4 linked regions of the Sus scrofa genome follow. The protein of the gene in region 1 binds, or shares a complex with, the protein of each later gene. Links are inferred from orthologs where the notes say so. Each region holds a gene or a part of one and is shown in the gene's direction. Other genes may lie near its edges.

Region 1 (5,231 bases):
TAGGATCTTAGGAAAATGTAGGCTAGGAGCAGGAGGCCTGTCCCTAACAACTTCAGGGCCCAGGTAAAAGTACAAAAAGAGGTCCACATACCATATTTCTAAATATGTAACATTTATAAATCAAGCTAACGAATTGTTAGATTAAAAAGTTCTACATACATTCTGAGCAAGTCATCTGAATATTCAAACACATATTAAAAAGGCTGGATCTATAAGTCAGTCTAACCAGCGAGGAGACCTGTGATCTAGACAGGGCTTCAAAGCCAACTATCTGCTTGTTCATTGTTCTTAGCAAATTATGTGTATTAAATATGTGTATCAGCCTCCCTGATAGACCTAACTTATAGCAAACATACATATAATCTAGAAGCCTAGCTTCAGGTTTAGAATCTTTGAGTGTTGCACCTCCCTAGTGTACTTGAGGTAGTTTTTTCAGAACTTAACTCAAAAGACCTTTACTTCAGGAGTTCCTATAGTGGCTCAGTGGTTAACGAACCTGACTAGTATTCATGAGGATGTGGGTTCAATCCCTGTCCTTGCTCAGTGGATTGAGGATCTGGAGCTGTGTTGTAGGCCACAGATGTGGCTTGAATCCAGCATTGCTATGGCTGTGGCCTAGTTATAGTCATGAGCTGTGGCAGCAGTTACAGCTCCAGTTTGACCCTAGCCTGGGAACCTCCATATGCAGCGGGAGCGGCCCTTAAAAAAACCCAACACTTCTACTTCAAAAGATCTGTTTAACTGACCCTTGCATAAAAAATTTTTCCCATGGTATTATATAATACTTTAATTTTTCTCCTTAGAATTAAAATTTTACCACCACCTCATTCCTAGAGTAAAAAAACACCAGTGTTCACTATACTCACAAAGAAAATCCAAAATGCTTAGCAGATTTTATGCTTTACTTTAGAAATTGCTTTCAAGGGAATTCTTATAGACCTCTAATATTTATTGATCCACAACTTCTACTTTCACTCCACTGCAAGACCCCAAGAGCTGAGTTTACTTAGCTATGGCTTGAACATCCTTATGACTTCTGAGGACAGTATCATTCAGTGGATACATTCTGAGCAAGTCATCTGAATATTCAAACACATATTAAAAAGGCTGGATCTGTAAGTCAGTCTAACCAGCGAGGAGACCTGTGATCTAGAACAGGGCTTCAAAGCCAACCATCTGCTTGTTCATTGGTAGCAGCTGGTGTAACTGGAAAAACTTGGGAAGGAAATTAAAAAACCCATTCGGAGTTCCAACTCTGTCACTAACTGGCTGAACTGGAGTGAGTCAGCAGAAACTCTTGGAGCCTCAGTGTCATTATCTATAAAGTTAGGATAAGACAGTGGCATTAAGGGCTCCACCTGTTTGGTGGGAGGCAGGAGCAGGTCAGGGAGGGGAGGGAAGCATTGGACCAAGCTTCAATTTCTGCACCTGTAACAGTCAAGACTTTTGCCCTGAACACCTAAGAGGGTTTTGGAGGACGAGAAGGAGAAGGCACAACCTTTCTGAGCTTTAGTTTCAATGTGTAAAGAGGTAAGAACACCTGGCCAACTAATAAAATTCCTAGAACACAGGAAAATGGATAGAAAAAAACCCTGCAAAATGTAGAGGCCCATACGTATGTGAATCGTCTCACACCTAAAATGCAACAGACTTACAAACCCAGACCATAACTCAAGACAACCTCTTAAAGCTCAGCCCAGAGTGGCAACATCGCTTGTACTCACGGGACAGCCGGCCACACCCCTCGAGGCTGGAGCGGGGCGGGAGGGGGCGTGGCGCAGCCCGGCAGGCCTATCGTGGTGCCCCGCCCCGTCGCGCCCGCGCCTGCGCTGTGCGCGCTTACTGGTCTCAAGCGCCCCGGCGGGAGGTAAGGGGCTCGCGACAGGCCGCCTCATGGGTGTCAGGCCCTGTGTGGCATGGTAGGCCGGGTGCCAACCTCGCGCGCGGGAGGGGCGCCCGGCGGGAAGCAGGGTATCAGTTCGGAAGTGCGAGCTCTGTGGGGCTTCTCTCAGCTCCAAGAAGTGATGGTTTCGGTTTTGGAGGCGCTATTCGAAGCGGGTATAGAGGGCGGCCGACCGGAGGAGCTGGTCGGCCTCCTGGGGTCTCAGGGTGGAAAAGTTTCTATCGTCTGCCCTGCCGTGACGCACTGTGGGCCATAGGTCGTCAGCGTCGTGGGCGTCTACGTCCTGAGACTGGTCCGCGTACCCGTTCTCGGCGAGGGTGGGGGGAGGGGCGTTTGGTTTCTGTGGCCCGGGTGCGCTGTGGGTTACTCTGCTCCGAGGTAGTGAGGGGAGGACCCGAAGCGAGAGGGTGGAGTGTCCTGTCAGCCAGACCGGGAGGTGGCTCTTAGAAGGTCCCATGTTTAACTCCCCCTTTTTTAAAATTCGGAATCAGAGGCTCAGAGAGCGGACTATAGGGTAGGACCAGGGGCCTTGACTTTTCTTTCCAAATTTAGGAACGCGTCCCCAAGTCAGAATCTTGTCCGAAACAAATCAGGGCGACGTGGCTGAAGACATTCGGTGCCACTGGTGTGGGGAAATGTTGGAAGATGTTCATCACTTTTTTTTGTTGCCAGCAATTTTGGACTTTTTCTGAGAAATAGGGCTTTTCCTTTATAAATAATCCGAAGTAATTTGGTTAACCTCCCAGTACTTTTTCCTTACTGGAAACTAATGGTATGGTATTCAGCTGGTAATAGTTGTAAGCACCTGCCATTCCCCCATCCCCAGCCCCCGAGCCAAGTGTCTGTGCAGTGAATATGGTTGCAGTTATTTGATGTAGAAATGTTTGGCCTGTCTTACATGAAACAGCTCAACACGTTTTTAAAAAAGACTTTATTTTGAAATAATTTTACAATAACGGAGGAGTTAGAAAAGTAATAGAGAGTTTTCTAGTTTCCTTTAATGTTAGCATCTCATATAATCGTAATACAAATATCAAAAGTAGGAAATCAACTTAGGTACAACACCGTTAACTAAACTATCAGCTTTCTTAAGATTTCATCTTTTTTTTTTATACTAATGTCCTTTTTCTGTTCTAGGATCCAATCTAAGACCCCACATTGCATTTAGTTAACATGGCTCCTGAGTCTCCTCCAGTCTGCGACAGCTTCTAAGTCTTTTCTTGTCTTTTAGGTCCTTTACACTTTTGAAGAGTCCTGGTTATTTGTTTTGTAGAGAGTCCCTCAGTTGAGTTTTGTCTGATGTTTTTTCTCCCGGTGAGATTAGGGTTATGCGTTTTTGTTGATGTCACAGAAGTGTATGCCCTTCTCAGTAGTCCATCATGTAAGGAGGTGTGTGATATGACACTGCTTTTGAAATTACTCTTGATCACTGGTTAAGGTGGTATCTGTTGGGATTCTCTAAAGTTACTACTTTTCCCTTTGTAACTAATCAGTATGTTGGGGGAGAACTTTGTTTAATTTTTGTTTTGTTTTGTTTTCTGGCTGCACTCACAGCATATGGAAGTTCCTGGACCAGGGATTGAATCTGAGCCAAGCTGTGACCTACTCTGCAGCTGTGGCAATACCATATTCTTTAGTCACCTTTGCCAGACTGGGGATCACCTCCGTAGTGACCCACACTGCACCACTGCGGGAACTCTGACAACTTTTTTTTTTTTTTTCCTTTTTATGAATGTACCTGTGGCATATGGAAGTTCCTGGGCTAGGGGTTGAGTCAGAGCCTGCTGCAGGTCTATGCCACAACCAGGGCAACACTGGTTTTGAGCTGCATCTGCAACCTACACTGCAGCTTGTGGCAATGCTGGATCCTTAACCCACTGAGTGAGACCAGGGATTGAACCTGAGTCCTCGAGGACACTATGTCAGGTTTTTAACCTGCTGAGTCACAACGGGAACTCCCCCTGGGGAACTTTTAAACAAGACAAATACTCAGTTTCTTTTCAAACTTTAATTAGCTGATTTGAGCATCCATTACTTTTTCTTGCTTTCAGTAATTGTTACTGTGATAATCTCGATGGTGGTTTTCTGTTTCTCTCATTCCTTCTTCACTTATTAATTGGAGTTTTTTTTGGTTTGTTTTTGTTTTTTTTTGTCTTTTTGCCTTTTCTAGGCCACTCCCATGGCATATGGAGGTTCCCAGGCTAGGGGTCCAGTCGGAGCTGTAGCCACCAGCCTATGCCAGAGCCATAGCAACGCAGGATCTGAGCCTCGTCTGCAACCTACACCACAGCTCATGGCAATGCCGAATCTTTAACCCACTGAGCAAGGCCAGGGATCGAACGTGCAACCTCATGGTTCCTAGTCAGATTTGTTAACCACTGCGCCACAGTGGGAACTCCTGGAGTTTTTCTGTAAAGAAGAGCTGCCCCTTCTTCTCATTTATTTATTGTTAATTTTTTGTATCAGTATAGATTCATTTATCTTTCTGTTGGTTATTATCCTACACTGTGGTTATTTATTTTATGTCTTAAATTGTTCCAGCTTTGGCCATTGGAAGTTTTTTCAGGGTGCTTCTTGTGCCCTCTTCATAGGTCCTCGTTATTTTTTGAGAACTTCTTTTCTTTTTGACACCAGAGGATGCTCCAGGCTCTCTTGTGTTTTCCTTGACACAGCCCTTGAATCCACCACTTCTCCAAGGACCCCCTGGTTGGTTTGGAGAGTGGTATTTTTTTAACCATCAACGATTTAGGTGCTAGGTGTGTTCATTGCTACTGGGGTATCACTGCTTCTAGTGCCCGGCAGAAGACATCTAGGAAGTGTGTGTGAGTGTGTATTATATATATATATATTTCTAGCTATTTGTACATACCATCATCCCTTGGTATCTGTAGGGAACTGGTTCCAGGACCCGTCACAGACTAAAATCCAAAGCCGTGCAAATCCACGGATACTCAGATCCCATGATTTGTCCCTTTGTATCTGAGGTTCCATATCTGCAGACTCAACTGTGACTCCTGTAGTGTAGTACTTACTGGAAAATATCCATGTGTAAGTGGACCCTCACAGTTCAAATCCATATTTTCAAGGGTCAACTGAATGTGCATATCGTTCATATAGATACACACAGGCATACATTATTTATTCTTTCATATGTTGACTTTTTTTATTTGTGTATATATACATACACATTATATATATGTGTGTGTGTGTATATATATATATATTTAAAGTTTTTTTGATACTTCCATTTCTAATTTAATACCACAGGGTTCTTTCTAGTCTTGCCCCTTATTTGTAACTTCTTTCTCCAATAGTGAGAAATCTGGCT
Region 2 (5,066 bases), on another chromosome or scaffold:
TTATTATAGTGGATTTACAGTGTTCTGTCAGTTACTGCTGTACAGCATACATCCGGAAGCTTTTAGTCAGGTCATTGAGTTGGGGGGGGGGCATATGTATTTTAAAGTAATGATCCCCAGCCCCAAATAAAAGGAAGAGCAGCCTGTCTTGAATCTTTTGCTTCTTCTCACGTGCCTTTTCACCCTCCCCAGACAATGCCATCCCCATCAAATCCTGGTTCAGTGACCCCAGCGATACCGCCCTCCTCAACCTGCTTCCTATGCTGGATGCCCTCAGGTAAGGAAGCGAGAGAGACACCAAGGAGGCGGGGGAGCCCAAGAGAGAATAAAAATGTGTCCTGTTTTACTCACTTATCTCTTTTCCCTTAAGAACTTAGCATTTGAAGCCAGGTCTTCTTACAAAAACTCGTCACTTTTAGCCAGTGGGTGTTGGGCAAACTGCAGCTCAGTCTCCACCGCCCGGCTTCAGCGAGGCTGCCTCACGCTAAGGTGAGGAGGTCAGCGTAAGGGCTCTACCAATGCAAGTTAATTGTCGTCCCAGGTTCACCGCGGATGTTCGTTCTGTGCTGAGTCGAAACCTTCACCAACATAGGCTCTGGTGACAGCTGCTCCCCCTCCACCTGAGTTGGGGTGGGGGGGAAGGGAGGGTGAGCCCTCGGGATGCCGTCTGGTGCCCTGGCCAACGGTGAGGACTGCCTGGGCAGAGTCTGCCCCTCCCACCCCTCTCTGCCCTGGGAGCCCTGCACTCCGTATGGAGTCTGGATGGACACATGGGCCAGATTCTGAAGCAGCCTCACTCTAACTTCGTGTTCGCACTCCCCGGAAACCCCAGACTGGGACATAAAGCGGAGGCCTGGGAGAGCTGAAACATTGTCTGGTGGAGACAGGACTGGCCAGAGTGAGCGAAAGACACTCGGTAATCCGGGAGGCTCAAAGAGAAGCCAAGCCAGCTTTGTTGTGATTTGATTTTTTAAAAACTCTTGTACAAAACTGATCTAATTCTTCACTCCAAGGGCTGGGCTGTGGGTGGGAAACTGGGATTTTGGGCCACTGGATTTTCCCCAAACTTGTCCCTTCCCTTCCTTTTCCATCTTCCCTTCTTCCTAGAGTCCCTCAGACCTGTAACGAGCTTTCTCTTTTTTTCTTTCGTCTACTTAAACCATGCATTATAACTTTGAAACCAAAGCTGCCCTAGGTCCTTCTCTGGGTTTGGGGGAAATGAAGGGGCTTTGTTCACACCCACCCTGGCTCTGGGCAGAGGGTAAGGAGCAAGCTGTTGACCTGAGGGGAGGGTGTTGGCCACCCTGGCGGGGAGGGTCTTAGTGGCAGGATGATACCCTGGCCGGGAGCGAAAGAACAGCCCTGTGTCCAGAGGGAATGTGAGCTTCCGAACAGTAACACAGAAAAGTTTGAAAGGAAAAGAGAACTGGACGCTGGGAGAGGCCTGGCTTCGTCTGCGGGCCTGACTTAGACTAGCTGAGCGGGCGCAGCCCCCCGGGGGCGGAGGGGGGGGTGTCCCAGGCCCCTGGCGCCCCACCTCCCTCCCCTTGGCCCTGCTCCCCCAGCCGCAGCCGGCTCTACTTCCTCGCACTCGCCACGTGACGCCCCGCCCTTCTCTGCGATCACATGATCTCTCCGTGAGCCGCGAAGACTGTGTTCCTCCGCGCTGACGTAGTCCCTACCTTTCAGACCTCTCCAGTCCCTATTCGTCCACTCATTCCTGGAACCTAAGCATTCTGGAAACATAAGCGTCTTTCCAAACATAGGTCTCGTTTCTGCCCTCCTCTGTTTCCAAAGACCGCTTGCTCCATTGGGGTACTACTTTGTTTTGGTGTCAACCGCCGCCTTCAGCGTACCAGCACCTTTCCTGAATAGCTGTCCTTGTAATTATCTGCTTTTTTACCTCTGTTACTTCTGAAAAGCACTTTCGGAGAACCAAGTCTCAAATTATGATTACCATCTCCAAGCCCTTTTCATCCTGTGGAAAAAGTCAGGAAATGGGTTTTCAGTTATTTTCTATGATAGCAAAAAGCCAGCCACCTTTCCTACGTCGCCTGCGTAGCCCGTAAATTGATTCCAAAGCGATTACGCTGATTGCGTGAGGGGGGAGGTCAGTAGGTGGCGCTACGCTAGTGGCGTTGGGGCCACTGAGCTAGGAGCGTAACATAGCGAGTGGGGCGGCCTCTGACGGCCGGGGGCGGGGTTGGTGAATAGGGAAGTGGCGCAAGGTCCGGGATCGCTCCGCTGAATCCGCCCGCGCGTCGCCGCCGTCGCCGCCGCCCCCCATCCCGGCCCCCCCGGGTTCCCTCAGCCCAGCCCGGTCCAACCCGGTTCCCGGGAGGATGAAGTTCGTGTATAAAGAAGAGCATCCGTTCGAGAAGCGTCGCTCTGAGGGCGAGAAGATCCGAAAGAAATACCCGGACCGGGTGCCGGTGAGGACAGTAGCCAGGGCCGAGGGCGCGGGGCGCTGGCGCTGACGCCACAGCCTGGGCTTGAGTCCGAGACCCGCAGCGCGGGCATCAGGCTGCCAGCTGTGGCAGGGTTGGGAATGAGCCCGAAACTGCTGTCTGTGGGACTGGAGGTGAAAGGAGTGGGGTAGCATTAGAACTGGGGGGCTAGGGGATGTAGGCTTAAGGGGATGTAGGCGCGAGAGCTAGACCTTGGATTCGTGTAGGGCGTTTGACATTCCGAGCTTCACAGGGGGTGCTTGAGATTGAAGCTCTAGTCGGCCCAGACAAGACATGCCTGTTTGATTAAAATCATTGTTTGTTATGACGTCCTATTCAGGGATTCTGGAGGTTTAGGTGAGTTTGAGTCAGTGGGATCAGAATCCCTGCTCAGGACTGCGCCGCGTGTTCAGAGACAAAGAGAAATGAGTCTGGGGTAGGTAGGGATGCTAGGAATGTTGAGTTCTTGACAGGTGGAGCTGTGGGCCTGTATACCTAATGTCTCCTAATTTTCGTCTCTTTATCAGGTGATAGTAGAAAAGGCTCCCAAAGCTCGGATAGGAGACCTAGATAAAAAGAAATACCTGGTGCCTTCTGATCTCACAGGTGAGAACCTGACCCAGTAGCCAGGTTTGCTTCCTGGGGGGTGGGAATGTGGTCTCTGCTGGAGGAGGCTCCACATAGCAGCTGTTCTTTTGAAGGCGTTTGTGACCTCAGACTTTCTCAGACCTTGTTTCTTTGGCAGTTGGTCAGTTCTACTTCTTGATCCGGAAGCGAATTCATCTCCGAGCTGAGGATGCCTTGTTTTTCTTTGTCAACAATGTCATTCCACCCACCAGTGCCACGATGGGTCAGCTGTACCAGGTATAGTGTCTGGGAAGTAGTGGAGGCTTTGGAGAGGAGTTGGAAGCACTTGAGAGGCAGGAAGTTTTAAGTCAGCAGGTCTTGGACTAGTTGGCTTACTTAGCTCTCAGTTTTAAATTTGGCTTTAAAATCTCCTTATAGTTCTGGGTTGGGGATTTAGACAGGGCAGTGGGAGTAGAGAGAAAAGAGAACAGTGAGTTGGAGCAACTGTTGTGATCTGGACTTTCCCCAGGCCCCTCCCCATTTCGAGGCAGCAGAGAACAATGTGTGATTTTTATGCCTAGGACTGCTGCTAGGATAATACTGCTCAGCCGCTAGGGTCTGGAGCAAGTGAGAGGGAGAGTCAAAGCACTGGTTTTGGGGGTCTTCAAAAAGAATGTTTTTGGAAGAATGTGCCTGGGTGGTGGTTGGTTCAAGTAATTAAAGCCCAGGTGCCTGAGCACTGTCATTTTCTGCTTTCACCCCAGGAACACCATGAAGAAGACTTCTTTCTGTACATTGCCTACAGTGATGAAAGTGTCTATGGTCTGTGAAGCTGCTGCCCTTAAGGTCGGGGGTCCCATTCTTCAGACAGAGAGAGGTGGCCCACCTTCCTCGACCTGTCCTTCCTTGAGGCTCAAACACCACCTCCTTTCTTCAGGACCTACACTTCCTAATGTTTGAGACTCTCCTCCAGCCCTTCTTAAAACAAGGGTTAATGGGGGAGATGGCCTCCAGTACTCCTTTCCTTCCCTTTCTCTACCACCTTCCCACTCAGCTTTAGACTTCTTGATTGTCCATCTCTGTCACATCCAGTGGTCGTTTTGGTTTCTGTTTCCTTTCTAACTGCCCAGGGGGCTCAGGATCCCAACAATCCCTTATTTTCACTACCTTCTTTTTGGGGGGTAGATGGAAGGGACTGAATTGTGGCGGGGAAGGTAGGATACACATCAATAAAGAGGAAACCACCAAGCTGAACTGGATTTTGCTTTGTGTTGCTGCCCTCTGCCTTTTGTTCTCTACTCAATGGGGGAAAGGGAGGTTGGAGGGATAGTAATGTATTTTTATTTCTTCTCCTTATGTTGGGCTTTTCCTTGTGCAGAGAAAGTGTGCTTTTGTTGTGATGGATGGAATACTCTGAGTATCATTTCATGAAAGTTGTGTTATGTACCCGTGTATAGATAGGGGCTTGAGGTTAAAAAAAGTTGGTTTTCTACTGTGGGTTCCAGTGGAGAAAGTTTGAAAGTACCTGCTTTGGATATCCCATCCAAGTTTGTCATAACCTTTTGAATCAAGGAAGGGTTTTTTCCAAGTGTGGAGCTGGTAAAAGAACTCTGTCCTCAGGTATATGTCCCTTAGCCAGACTCTGTGCCGGCGTGCGGGTTCCAGTAGAGTGGAATACAAGTTAGGGAGAAGACTGGGAGGAGGGAGCCATTATTACCACGAGAACTTCATCTCCCAGCAGCCAAGTCTCCGTGTAGCCGGAAGTGGGGCGGTCCCCGGGTGGAAAAAGAAGCCGCAGAATGAGGCAGTATGGTGGCCGAGAGATCTAATCCCTTCTTCCCCTTCTTTCTTAGCCCCGCCCCGCCTACATTTCCCAGAAGTCTACGCGCACTCTTCCGCTTTCCCCTCTGCTCCCAATCTCCCCGCCACTCCCCGGGGGAGGAGAGCGGTTTAGTACGCCTGCGCCAACCCATGGTTTGCTGGGAACTGAAGTTCCGGAGGCGTATGAAGTCCCCTTTCCGTCTTCCCCAGACGGACCACAATCCCCTTGAT
Region 3 (4,589 bases), on another chromosome or scaffold:
ACAGAGGTTTGTTGTTTTTTTCTAATGCGCAGATGATGTACGGTAAAGCACATACACACTTTAGTGGAGAGCTTACAACTCTTTACCTGTGCGTACTCCTTTGTGACCACCACCCAGATCAGGACATAGGGCGGAAATTAGGGAGGGTGTGGGCTTGAAGTGCAAGCAATGCCAGTGCTCCAACACGCTGGTGCCCAGCTTGCGCAAGGCACCATGGTCCATGTTCTCTTCCAGGCCACTGGCCTATGGCAGCAAAAAGCACACCCTGTGCTCGGGTGCCTGCAAGGCCATCATGGGGCCTGTGCCCACCCACCTGGGAAGCTCAGGCAGGGCCAGTGGGGCTCCAGGGCAGGCAAGTGAAAGTGGAGGCCTTTTTTTTTTTTTTTCCTGGTTTTTTTAGAGCCACCCCTGCAGCATATGGAGGTTCCCAGACTAGGGGTTGAATCAGAGCTGTAGCTGCTGGCCTGTATCACAGCCACAGCAACATGGGATCCAATCCATGCTTTCGACTTACACCACAGCTCACGGCAACGCTGGATCCTTAACCTACTGAGCGAGGCCAGGGATCAAATTTGCATCCTCATGGATACTAGTCAGATTCGTTTCTGCTGAGCCATGAAAGGAACTCCTTTTTTTTTTTTTTTTTTCTGGAGGAGGCATTTGATTTTCTCACACAGGCACCCCAGGAAAAGACTATGCTGGCAGAGGTGGTGTTCCCTTCTAAAAGATTTCTTTCTTTTCTTGACTCTTATCCAAAGATTGAAAGAAGCCATAAGTATAAGCAAAGACCAGGAGGCACGGTTCCAGGCCAGCCACCCAAACCTCAGGAGGCTGAATGACTCAGGTCAGTGGGCTTGCTTTCCTACCTAACACTTGGGTTGGGTGGAGGGAGCACCTGCTGGGTGAGGGAGGCGGAGAGGAGGAAGTGGGAGCCTGCACTGCAGCTCTGAGCTGAGTGTGAAAGGCTGCTTGCAGGGAAACCCCTGTGGTAAGTGGAGTCATAGCCCCTAAAACATCCATACCCCAGCCCCAGGCCCTGGGAACATCAGGTCATGTAGCAAAGGGGGTTGTGGGTACAAAGGGAGCACAGTTGCCCAACTTGAGGTGAAAAGATGATCCTGGGTTTTCCAGGTGGACCCAGTAAAACCGCAAGGCTGCCCTGCACGTGCGAAGGAGGCAGTAAAGAGGGAGATTGGAAGGTGAAGGCAGGGCCCCTGGCTGAGGCGTGGCCTCCAGGAGCCATAGGAGGTGGGGGCAGATTCTCCCTGAGAATCTCTAGCCAGAGGCCAGCCCAGTGAGCCCCAGGTTGCAGCTCTGGCCTCCAGAACTGAAGGTGGTCTATGGGGGTTTGCTGTGGTGGCCCTCAAGCCCGGGCAGATGGGAGTGCAGGGTAGAATCTGTTTTGTGTCAGGTCATCCTGTCAGTATCAAATGACAAGCCCAGAACCAGCCATTATCTGGAAAGGAGTGGAGGCATCCTGGGGGCTTCTTTGGACCCCTAGAGAGCCAGGCCCATCACAAATAGCCAGGTGCCCCCTGCCATGTGATTGACACAGCCGAGGGGAGGCCTGGTGGAGGAGGCATTGGAGAGAGACAGAGCTATCTGGAAAGGCCAAAGCCACAGAGGAAGTGAGAGAACTAAAGTGCATAACACAGCCAGCTCGTTGTGCCCAAGGGAGTGGAGTAGAGCCCTGCACCGAAAGACAATTTTAAGGAACTAAAAGGAGTTTCATTTGTAGGGTGTGTATTAGCTTAAGAGAATTGGTGAAGCAAAAAAACAAAACAAAACAAAACAAAACAAAAAAAACAGGCTTGTGTAAATCGTGCTGGGGGGGAAATACAGCAAATCTAGAAAGAGATATTCCCCAGAAGATGTGAACTGGCCTGACAGGGCTTTCTTGTGTGAACTCAGGAGCTGAAGGTCAGGAGGATTCTTGGGGCAAATGTGCATCATCTGACATTCCTCTTTCCTGAGCCGTGAGGTTTTGCCTGATGCAACACCACTGCTATGTCATTACATGTGTCAATCTGTCTCTTTTCCTGTGCACCAGGGGCTGACCAGGCCCTCCAGAGGTTGGAGGTCTTTGATCTCCGAAGGGTAGGCCCCCAGGAAGCATCTCTCCCTTCCCCACAAGCCTGCCAGGGCTCCTTCCCCTCCCCCAACCCACTCCCACAGCCATCGCTCTGGCCTTAGAACTGACCATTATAGTCCTTCCACCTGTTTCCCAGACTAAGATTTTGTAAAGCAGCATTTCAAGGGATGTCAGTTAACCCATCTCCTGGTGTCTTCTTGTGAATCCAGACTGCATCCCTGGAGGGGCTGGATCTGCTGTGAGCTCTGAGGCGTATCCAAAGAACCCTCACCTCCAAGCCTATCATCAGAAAATCGACAGCAATCTGGGTAAGACGGGGCACCACCACGTTCAAGGTTCACCTGCCCGGGGCAGCGTGTGCCCAGCCCACTGGCGTCTGCCTCTGTCTCCCCTCTCAGCAAATCCAAGAGTCATGACCACTCCCCCCTGATCTCTGGAGCCTGTCCACTTGTCTTTGTCTCCACCTCTCCTCTGTCTGCTTGTCTCCGTCTCTACCTCTCTTCTGTCCACTTGTTTCCATCCCCACCTCTCATCTGCCTGCTTGCTTCAGTTCCCTGGACTCTGCCCTAGAGCCCAGGTGGAAGGGATGTCTGCGGATCTGGCCACTCCAACATGGGACGCTAGCGAGTCCACCAACCCCTAAACAAAATTTCCCCACCAGGAAAGGGTGTCATTGATGCCTGATGGGGAAATATCAGGGAGTGGAATTCAGGAATTGGGGGAGGGAGGCAGGAAGAAGGCTAAGTAGAGCCCACTGGGGGTGTGCAGGGAGTCCTCAAACCTGCAGCACTGGCCAGCACACAGTGGCCCAAAGGAGGGCTGTGTGGACCTCAGGGACCCCGGGACAGCTGTCCACAGTCTCTGCTAGCGAGGCCATACCACTACCCTGGGCACAATTCCTCTCCCTCCTGGCACACCCATCTTTGTCAGGGACCCTTGCCACATGGCCCTGCTTGTCAGGCTTTTCACCCCGGCACAGCCTCTTGCCTGTCCCAGCTGCTGGATCCTGGGGTAACCCATGGAGCTCAAGGCACAGGCTTCAGTCAAGCATAGAACTAAAGGCAGAGGCTTTAGGAAGCATAGAACTGAAGACTACCTTTTTTGAAAAAAACCTGATTCTAGAGTTTCTGTTGTGGCTCAGTGGTAACAAACCCAGCTAGTATCCATGAGGATGGCGGTTCGATCCTTGGCCTCACTTAATGGGTTAAGGATCCGGTGTTGCCGTGAGCTGCTGTGTAGTCTGCAGATTCTGCTTGGATCCAGCATTGCTGTGACTGTGGCATAGGCCAACAGCTGTAGCTCCAATTCAGCCCCTAGCCTGGGAACCTCCATGTATCACAGTTGTGGCCCTAAAAAAAATTTTTTTTGTCCTTTTAGGGCCACACATATGGCAGTCCCCAAGCTAGGGGTCCAATCGGAGGTACAGCTTCCAGCCTACACCACAGCTCAGGGCAATGCCGGATCCTTAACCCACTGAGCAAGGCCAGGGATCAAACCGCCATCCTCATGGATACTAGTTGGGTTTGTTAGCTGCTGAGCCACAATGGGAACGCCTAAAAATTTTTTTTAATTAATTTAAAAACCTGATTCTGCTTAGATTCGTAAAGCCACTGCTAGGGATTCATATATTTTGACCCTTTAAAAAAAAAAAAAAAACACACACACACACAATGTGCATAAATTCCTGGCCAGGGATTGAACCCAAACCACAGCAGTGACAATACCAGATCCTTAACCCACTGAGCCACCAGGGAACCCCATGCTTAGCTGTCTTTATGTTACTGTGCTGTGGAAGCCCTTCAAATACTCCTGAGGCTGACCACGTCCTTATAGGCATTGTTCCTTATGGACATTTTGTTGAACTTGAACTTAAGCAGTTGTCACCTGACTGTTGAACTTAAGCAGTTGAACTTAAGCAGTTGTCAGAAGAACCTTTGGGAGTTCCTATCGTGGCTCAGCAGTTAATGAACCCAATTAGCATCCATAAGGACTTGGGTTCGATCCCTGGCCTCACTCAGTGGGTTAATGATCTGGGGTTGTCGTGAGCTGTGGTGTAGGTTGCAGATGCGGCTCAGATCCCGAGTTGCTATGGCTGTGACTGTGGCTGGCGGCTACAGCTCCAATTGGACCCCTGGCTGGGGAACCTCTATAATGCCATGGATGCAGCCCTAAAAAGACAAAAAGACCAAGAAAAAAAAAAAAAAAGAACCTTTGCCAAAAGTAGTGCACTCCAGGAGTTCCTGTTGTGGCTCAGTAGTTAACGAATTACTAGGAACCATGAGGTTGTAGGTTCAATCCCTGGCCTCACTCAGTGGGTTAAGGATCCAGTATTGCTGTGAGCTGTGGTGTAGGTCACAGATGCAGTTCGGATCCCGAGTTGCTGTGGCTGTGGCGTAAGCCAGCAGCTACAGCTCCAATTAGACCCCTAGCCTGGAAACCTCCATATGCCTCGGGAGCGGCCCCAGAAAAGGCAAAAAGACCAAAAAAAAAAAAAAAA
Region 4 (5,305 bases), on another chromosome or scaffold:
TCCTAGGGCCGCACTCGCAGCATATGGAGGTTCCCAGGTTAGGGGTCCAATCAGAGCTGTAGCCACCAGCCTACATCAGAACCACAGCAACGCAGGATCCGAGCCATGTCTGCGACCCACACCACAGCCCACGGCAACACCGGATCCTTGACCCACCGAGTGAGGCCAGGGATCGAACCTGCAACCTCATGGTTCCTAGCCAGATTCATTAACCACTGAGCCATGACGGGAACTCCCTTTAACAGTTATATATATTTTTAACTCAATATATCCAAAACATTGTTTCAACTTATCATTAACATATAAAATTACTGAGATTTACAGGTATTCTCTCATAATAAGTCTTTGAAATCTGTGGGGGTTTTTTGTTTGTTTTGTTTTTAGGGCCACATTCATGGCATATGGAGGTTCCCAGCCTAGGGGTCTAATTGGAATACAGCTGCCAGTCTGTGCCACGGACACAGCAATGCGGGATCCGAGCCGCATCTGCAACCTATACCACAGCTAACGGTAATGCCGGATCCTTAATCCACTGAGCAAGGCCAGGGATTGAACCCGCAACCTCATGGTTCCTAGTTGGATTTGTTTCCATTGCACCACAAAGGGAACACCTGAAATCCGTGTGTGTGTTTCATTTACTCTTAAATCTCATCAGAGTTCAGACTAGCCACATTTCAAATGTTGAACAGCCACTTGTGGTCCAAGGCTACTGTACTAGACAGCAGCAAGTACAGATCAAAGGTTCTGACCTCCCTCTTCTTGGCCACATTGTAGCCTTTCTAAGGATGCTGAGGAGTCCAGGAGCCACATTCTCTGAAAGCAGGCTGTTACTATGCACCAAATTTCAGAGCTGCAGAAGATAATAATCTTATCTAATTGGAAGAAGGTTTCATTATAAATTAAAATTAAGGGTCTCAAAATGCTCCAGAGGTCCAAAATGTATGAGACTCTTTAAAAAAGCATTTGTCAGAGAAACTAACATTTCCCTCTTGGAACTGTTACCTCTTCTGGGATGGGACAGGAATGTTTGTTCCCTTCTGCACGTCCCTGTTATTGTTCTTCTGTCTTGATAAACACCATCCAGGAAGAGTGGATTTTCTCTGGCCTGGAGCCAGGTTGGTGGAAAAATCCTTTGCCCTGGGCCCCTTTTCCTGCTCCATAGGGCAGTCGTCTGACTGTTTCTGACAGGGCTCACCAACCCACATGGTGGCTCCTGAAGAGACGTACATGCAGGACTGTTGAACTCTGGAAGGAAAGGGGGGTTGGTGAGCCATCATTTCCTGATTCCAGCAGTGGGCAGCCCTTGGTTCCAGACACTGTGCTAGGCACATGCTATGTTCTATCCTTTTATTCCTCACCACCACCCTCTGAGGTCAGCGTCAGCACCTGCAAAACCCAGACAGGCAGAGGTTCACTCAGGGTCTGCAGCCTTCTGACACCAGAGCCCAGAATCCCAGCATTCCAGACTCTGGGGGTTTTAGTGCTTTCTACACTAAAACAGACTTGGGAGCAAGGTCTGTCCAGAAAGTGTTCATCTCTGCATCCTGTTCCCATGCGAACAAGGTGCTGAAAGTTGAGTTCAATCTCCAAGAATTGAGGGTCAGATATTCAGGACTTTAGAAAAAGAAGCGGGACTTCCCGCTGTGGTGCAATAGGATTGGCAGCGTCTCTGCAGCTCCAGGACGCAGGTTTGATCCCCAGCTCAGCACAGTGGGTTAAGGATCCAGCGTTGCCGCAGGCTGCTTTGGTCGGCTGGGAATTCCATGTGCCGTGAGGCGGCCAAAAAAAGCGGGAGGGGGAGGAGATGGCTGCCCTTTCTACGTCAGTAAACCTAGGAGGGCTGCCTGATCTTTTTTTCCCTGGTTCCTGATACGTGAGAAGAATTGTGGTGCCAGGGAGCCCTGTGGCTTTAAGCCTAAGCCCTGGCAGGGGAGGAGACTGGGAGGGCTGTGGAGGGTGCCCGCCTACCTGGGGAACCTGCGCGAGGTGTGGCCGGAGCGGCTCGGGATGCGAGGTGGGCGGGGGCGGGCTGAAAGTTGGACAAGCAGGAAGTGAACCGACGGCCGCCCGGGAGGAAACCGATTTAGGCGAGTTCTGCTGCCGCCAGGCCCCAGCCGCTCGGAGACATGGTGAGAGAGCTGGAGACTAAGAAGGGGCTGATTTCAAGCCCAGCCAGAGGGTTCGAGGGGGAGGGCTGGGGATCAGCAAAGGAAAGTTAGTGGCAAAGTCCAGAGGGCCGAGCCAGCGCTGTGGCCTGTCTTCTTTGACAGTTCGTCTGCAAATAGTTCGGAGCTGCCTTGGGCGGGTGTTCCTGCTCCTTCTTCGCTCCCTCCCTCCCCTGACCCCGGAGCCGGCCGGGAGGGGGGCTCCGGTGGGGGTGGGGGAGTCCTAATTCTTCTCCTTCTCCAGCCGGCGGGCCCGCGGGTGTTGTGACATTCCTGGGCAGCGCCTCTGCTGTTCCCGTCGCAGGTTCCAGCCCAGCGGCGGAATCCCCCTTGCCTTTCTCTCTATTCTTGTACAGAAACGCAAAGAATGTGTCTCTCCCCTGAATCCAAGGAATCTAGCTCATCTCCATTAACGTGAGGAAGAGAGCTAAGGGTTTGAAAGTCAGAAGTGGGTTTTCTGTGAGTGTCTCGTTTGGACCCACACCAGAAGTCTAGTGGGTCAGGGAGGGAGTTTCTCCCTCCCTGTTCAAAAACCTTATCATAAAGCCTGGGGATGAGGCATCAGGCCAGGAAGAACTTGCCCTCCATTTCCCCCAACGCCCAGGCTGCTGTTTTTATTTTATACTTGCTTAAGCAGGCAGTGGCGTGGTGCCGGCTCATGACGCTAAATGGTGGGGAAAGCAGAAGTTTGTGGCCCAACGGCTCTCTGGTGGGGCCTTGTGAGGGACTTGTAGCCTGGTGGCTGTTGTTCTGGGTCACAGCCATCAGGCTGCCCAGGAGGTCCGGAGAGAGAGGGAGAGTTGAGCTGGGTGAGGGTGGTCTGCGGGCTGGCACAGGCATTTTTACTGAGGACCCTATGGGATTTGAGAGTTGGTGAGGAGCAGTGGGGCTGTGCACTGTGAAATGCCAGCTCAGCTGTCTCCTGGAACCCTCTTTGAGGAAAAGAAGCAGTGGAGAGGGGTTTGGTAGTGGTATTTGTCATGCACCCTGAGAACCCACAAAGAGGTTTGATTCAATGTCTCCTAGCATGGCTCTTTACCATCTGGGGCTTAAACATGTAGGTTTTTTTCACTGTGCCCTATGGCATGTGGAAGTTCCCAGGCCAAGGATCAAACCCAAGCCTCAGCTGTAACCAGAGCCACAGCAGTGGTAACACCAGATCCTTAACTTCCTGAGCCACTGGGGAACTCCAGATGCTTTATTTTATTTTATTTTTTTGTCTTTTTGCCTGTTCTAGGGCCACTCCCGCGGCATATGGAGGTTCCCAGGCTAGGGGTCTCGTTGGAGCCGTAGCCGCCGTCCTACACCACAGCCACAGCAATGCAGGATCTGAGCCATGTCTGCAACCTACACCACAGCTCACAGCAACGCCAGATCCTTAACCCACTGAGCAAGGCCAGGGACTGAACCTGCAACCCCATGGCTCCTAGTTGGATTCGTTAACCACCGTGCCACAACGGGAACTCCAAAATCCTGTTTTTTTTTAAATCTTTTTATTTTAGGGCTGCACCCTTGGCATATGGAAGTTTGCAGGCTAGGGGTCATATCAGACCTATAGCCGCTGGCCTACACCACAGCCACAGCAACAGCAACGTGGGATCCAAGCCAAGTCTGTGACCTACACCACCACAGCAATGCTGGATCCTTAACCCACTGAGCAAGGCCAGGGATCGAACCTGCCACCTCATGGATGCTAGTCAGATTTGTTTCTGCTGAGCCACAATGACGGGAACTCCTGCATTTGTTTTTTTATTACATGCATACTTAGCAGAAAACCTTCTCTTTGTAAATAGTTCAAGCATTACAAAAGCTTAAGTCCATCTTAGGCCTCCCCCTCCTCTGGCCTCTGAGGCTGAGTCTCAGTCCCTCCACCACTTGGCTTAATTAACCGTTTTGTTGCTGCCCAGGAGGAGGCCAGTGGCGGTGGAGGGGATGACCGCGTGCGGAACCTGCGGAGTGAAGTGGAGGGAGTCAAGAATATTATGACCCAGAATGTGGAGCGGATCCTGGCCCGGGGAGAAAACTTGGACCATCTCCGCAACAAGACAGAGGATCTGGAAGCCACAGTGAGACAATGGGGAGCCTACTGGGGGCCAGAGGAAGAGGGGGAAGGAAGATTCTTGGGGGTTTGGGGATTGGCTGTCTTGGTGGCAGATGTTCAGGAGGGCAGTCTGCCTTTTCACCTGCATTGGGAATTGATGGGAGCAGATTCCCCACTTCTGATTCTGCTCTACTCCACTGATTGGTGCTGGGGTCCAGGGAATGGGTTCAAGGACTGGGGCTGGGGTGCATGGAGAGGGTGGAGGTGGGTGCGGACCCATGGAGGCATTTCCTGAGACAAATGGATGGCTCAGTCAGCCTGTGTCTTCTGAGGCTTCTCTCCTAGGAGACTTTCCCTTTGAAGGCTGCCCTTGACAATCATTTGGATCTGGCCTTCCCCAGGGCAAAAATATTGGCTCCAGAAAATCCTCTTAGGGCTCTAGGCCTTCCCCAGGAGTTGTTAGGCAGGTGGTGGAAAACTGTTAAGAATCTTGCTGAGCCAGCTTTAAAAAGAAGGTGGGAAAAGCAGTAAAAGTCTTTGATCCAGGGTTCTCTGCTAGCTAAAGGCTAGAATAATATCTCCCACATCTTTTTTTTTTTTTTTTTTTTAGGCCATCTGGTACCTGTAGCATATGGAAGTTCCCAGGCTAGGGGTCCAATCAGAGCTGTTGCCTCTGGCCACAGCCACAGCCACAGCAGCTTGGGATCCAGGCTGGATCTGTAACCTACACTGCCCCTCACAACAATGGCAGATCCTTAACCCACTGGACAAGGCCAGGGATCGAACCCGTGTCCTCATCGATGCTAATTGGTTTCTTTAGTGCTGAGCCACAAGAGGAACTCCCCAATATCATCCACATCTTGCTAGATCTCATTCTCTCTCTCCAGCCAGAGGCTGCAGCCAGCTGCCCAGGGAGGGAGGAACTCTAAAGTTCAGCAGAGGGCTGGAGCATAGGATTCCACATCCATGGGAGAGCCTGGCCTTGGCTTTCTGAGTCCTGTGTGTGACCTTGGGTATAGATCCTTTGACTCCCTGAGACTTAGTGTTTCTTTCCACAGCCTCGTCTGGGGAGCATAGCCCAGGAAAGTTAATTTCTGCA

The links.
Region 2: the proteins of STX17 (region 1) and GABARAP are in contact, whole or in part, in a crystal structure (PDB 7BV4), measured with the Homo sapiens proteins. The link is inferred for Sus scrofa from reciprocal best matches to the Homo sapiens genes STX17 and GABARAP. Residues at the interface, in NP_060389.2 of Homo sapiens: Ala169, Glu170, Ser171, Trp172, Glu173, Thr174, Leu175, Glu176, Asp178, Leu179, Glu181, Leu182; in NP_009209.1 of Homo sapiens: Tyr5, His9, Lys13, Glu17, Lys20, Ile21, Arg28, Pro30, Lys46, Lys47, Lys48, Tyr49, Leu50, Pro52, Leu55, Gln59, Phe60, Phe62, Leu63, Lys66, Arg67, Phe104.
Region 3: the proteins of STX17 (region 1) and SNAP29 are in contact, whole or in part, in a crystal structure (PDB 4WY4), measured with the Homo sapiens proteins. The link is inferred for Sus scrofa from reciprocal best matches to the Homo sapiens genes STX17 and SNAP29. Residues at the interface, in NP_060389.2 of Homo sapiens: Glu170, Trp172, Glu173, Leu175, Glu176, Leu179, Ile180, Ser183, Val186, Thr187, Phe189, Ser190, Val193, Asn194, Gln196, Gln197, Ile200, Ile203, Ala204, Val207, Asn208, Ala210, Ala211, Val214, Glu215, Thr218, Leu221, Gly222, Ala224, Ala225; in NP_004773.1 of Homo sapiens: Arg52, Thr56, Ser59, Thr60, Arg62, Ser63, Leu66, Glu69, Ser70, Val73, Gly74, Ser77, Glu80, Leu81, Gln84, Val87, Leu88, Thr91, Met94, Val95, Lys97, Met98, Asp101, Leu102, Ile104, Ser105, His108, Ile109, Ser111, Ile112.
Region 4: the proteins of STX17 (region 1) and VAMP8 are in contact, whole or in part, in a crystal structure (PDB 7BV6), measured with the Homo sapiens proteins. The link is inferred for Sus scrofa from reciprocal best matches to the Homo sapiens genes STX17 and VAMP8. Residues at the interface, in NP_060389.2 of Homo sapiens: Ser171, Trp172, Thr174, Leu175, Asp178, Leu179, Glu181, Leu182, Leu185, Val186, Phe189, Leu192, Val193, Gln196, Glu198, Lys199, Ile200, Ser202, Ile203, His206, Val207, Ser209, Ala210, Asn213, Val214, Glu216, Gly217, Thr218, Asn220, Leu221; in NP_003752.2 of Homo sapiens: Gly9, Val13, Leu16, Gln17, Val20, Glu21, Val23, Lys24, Met27, Thr28, Asn30, Val31, Ile34, Leu35, Arg37, Gly38, Leu41, Glu42, Leu44, Arg45, Thr48, Glu49, Leu51, Glu52, Ser55, Glu56, Phe58, Lys59, Ser62, Gln63.

The regions. Positions count from the first base shown.
Region 1 is NC_010443.5:241,655,685-241,660,915, forward strand, and holds the start of STX17 (syntaxin-17), read left to right. Parts: upstream 1-1,852; 5' UTR 1,853-1,919; intron 1,920-5,231. UniProt on the Homo sapiens protein: SNAREs, soluble N-ethylmaleimide-sensitive factor-attachment protein receptors, are essential proteins for fusion of cellular membranes.
Region 2 is NC_010454.4:52,595,337-52,600,402, reverse strand, and holds GABARAP (gamma-aminobutyric acid receptor-associated protein), read left to right. Parts: upstream 1-2,236; 5' UTR 2,237-2,342; coding exon 2,343-2,432; intron 2,433-2,974; coding exon 2,975-3,053; intron 3,054-3,192; coding exon 3,193-3,311; intron 3,312-3,778; coding exon 3,779-3,844; 3' UTR 3,845-4,273; downstream 4,274-5,066. UniProt on the Homo sapiens protein: Ubiquitin-like modifier that plays a role in intracellular transport of GABA(A) receptors and its interaction with the cytoskeleton.
Region 3 is NC_010456.5:50,501,439-50,506,027, forward strand, and holds part of SNAP29 (synaptosomal-associated protein 29), read left to right. Parts: intron 1-758; coding exon 759-844; intron 845-2,301; coding exon 2,302-2,400; intron 2,401-4,589. UniProt on the Homo sapiens protein: SNAREs, soluble N-ethylmaleimide-sensitive factor-attachment protein receptors, are essential proteins for fusion of cellular membranes.
Region 4 is NC_010445.4:59,189,573-59,194,877, reverse strand, and holds the start of VAMP8 (vesicle-associated membrane protein 8), read left to right. Parts: upstream 1-1,712; 5' UTR 1,713-2,126; coding exon 2,127-2,129; intron 2,130-4,072; coding exon 4,073-4,231; intron 4,232-5,305. UniProt on the Homo sapiens protein: SNAREs, soluble N-ethylmaleimide-sensitive factor-attachment protein receptors, are essential proteins for fusion of cellular membranes.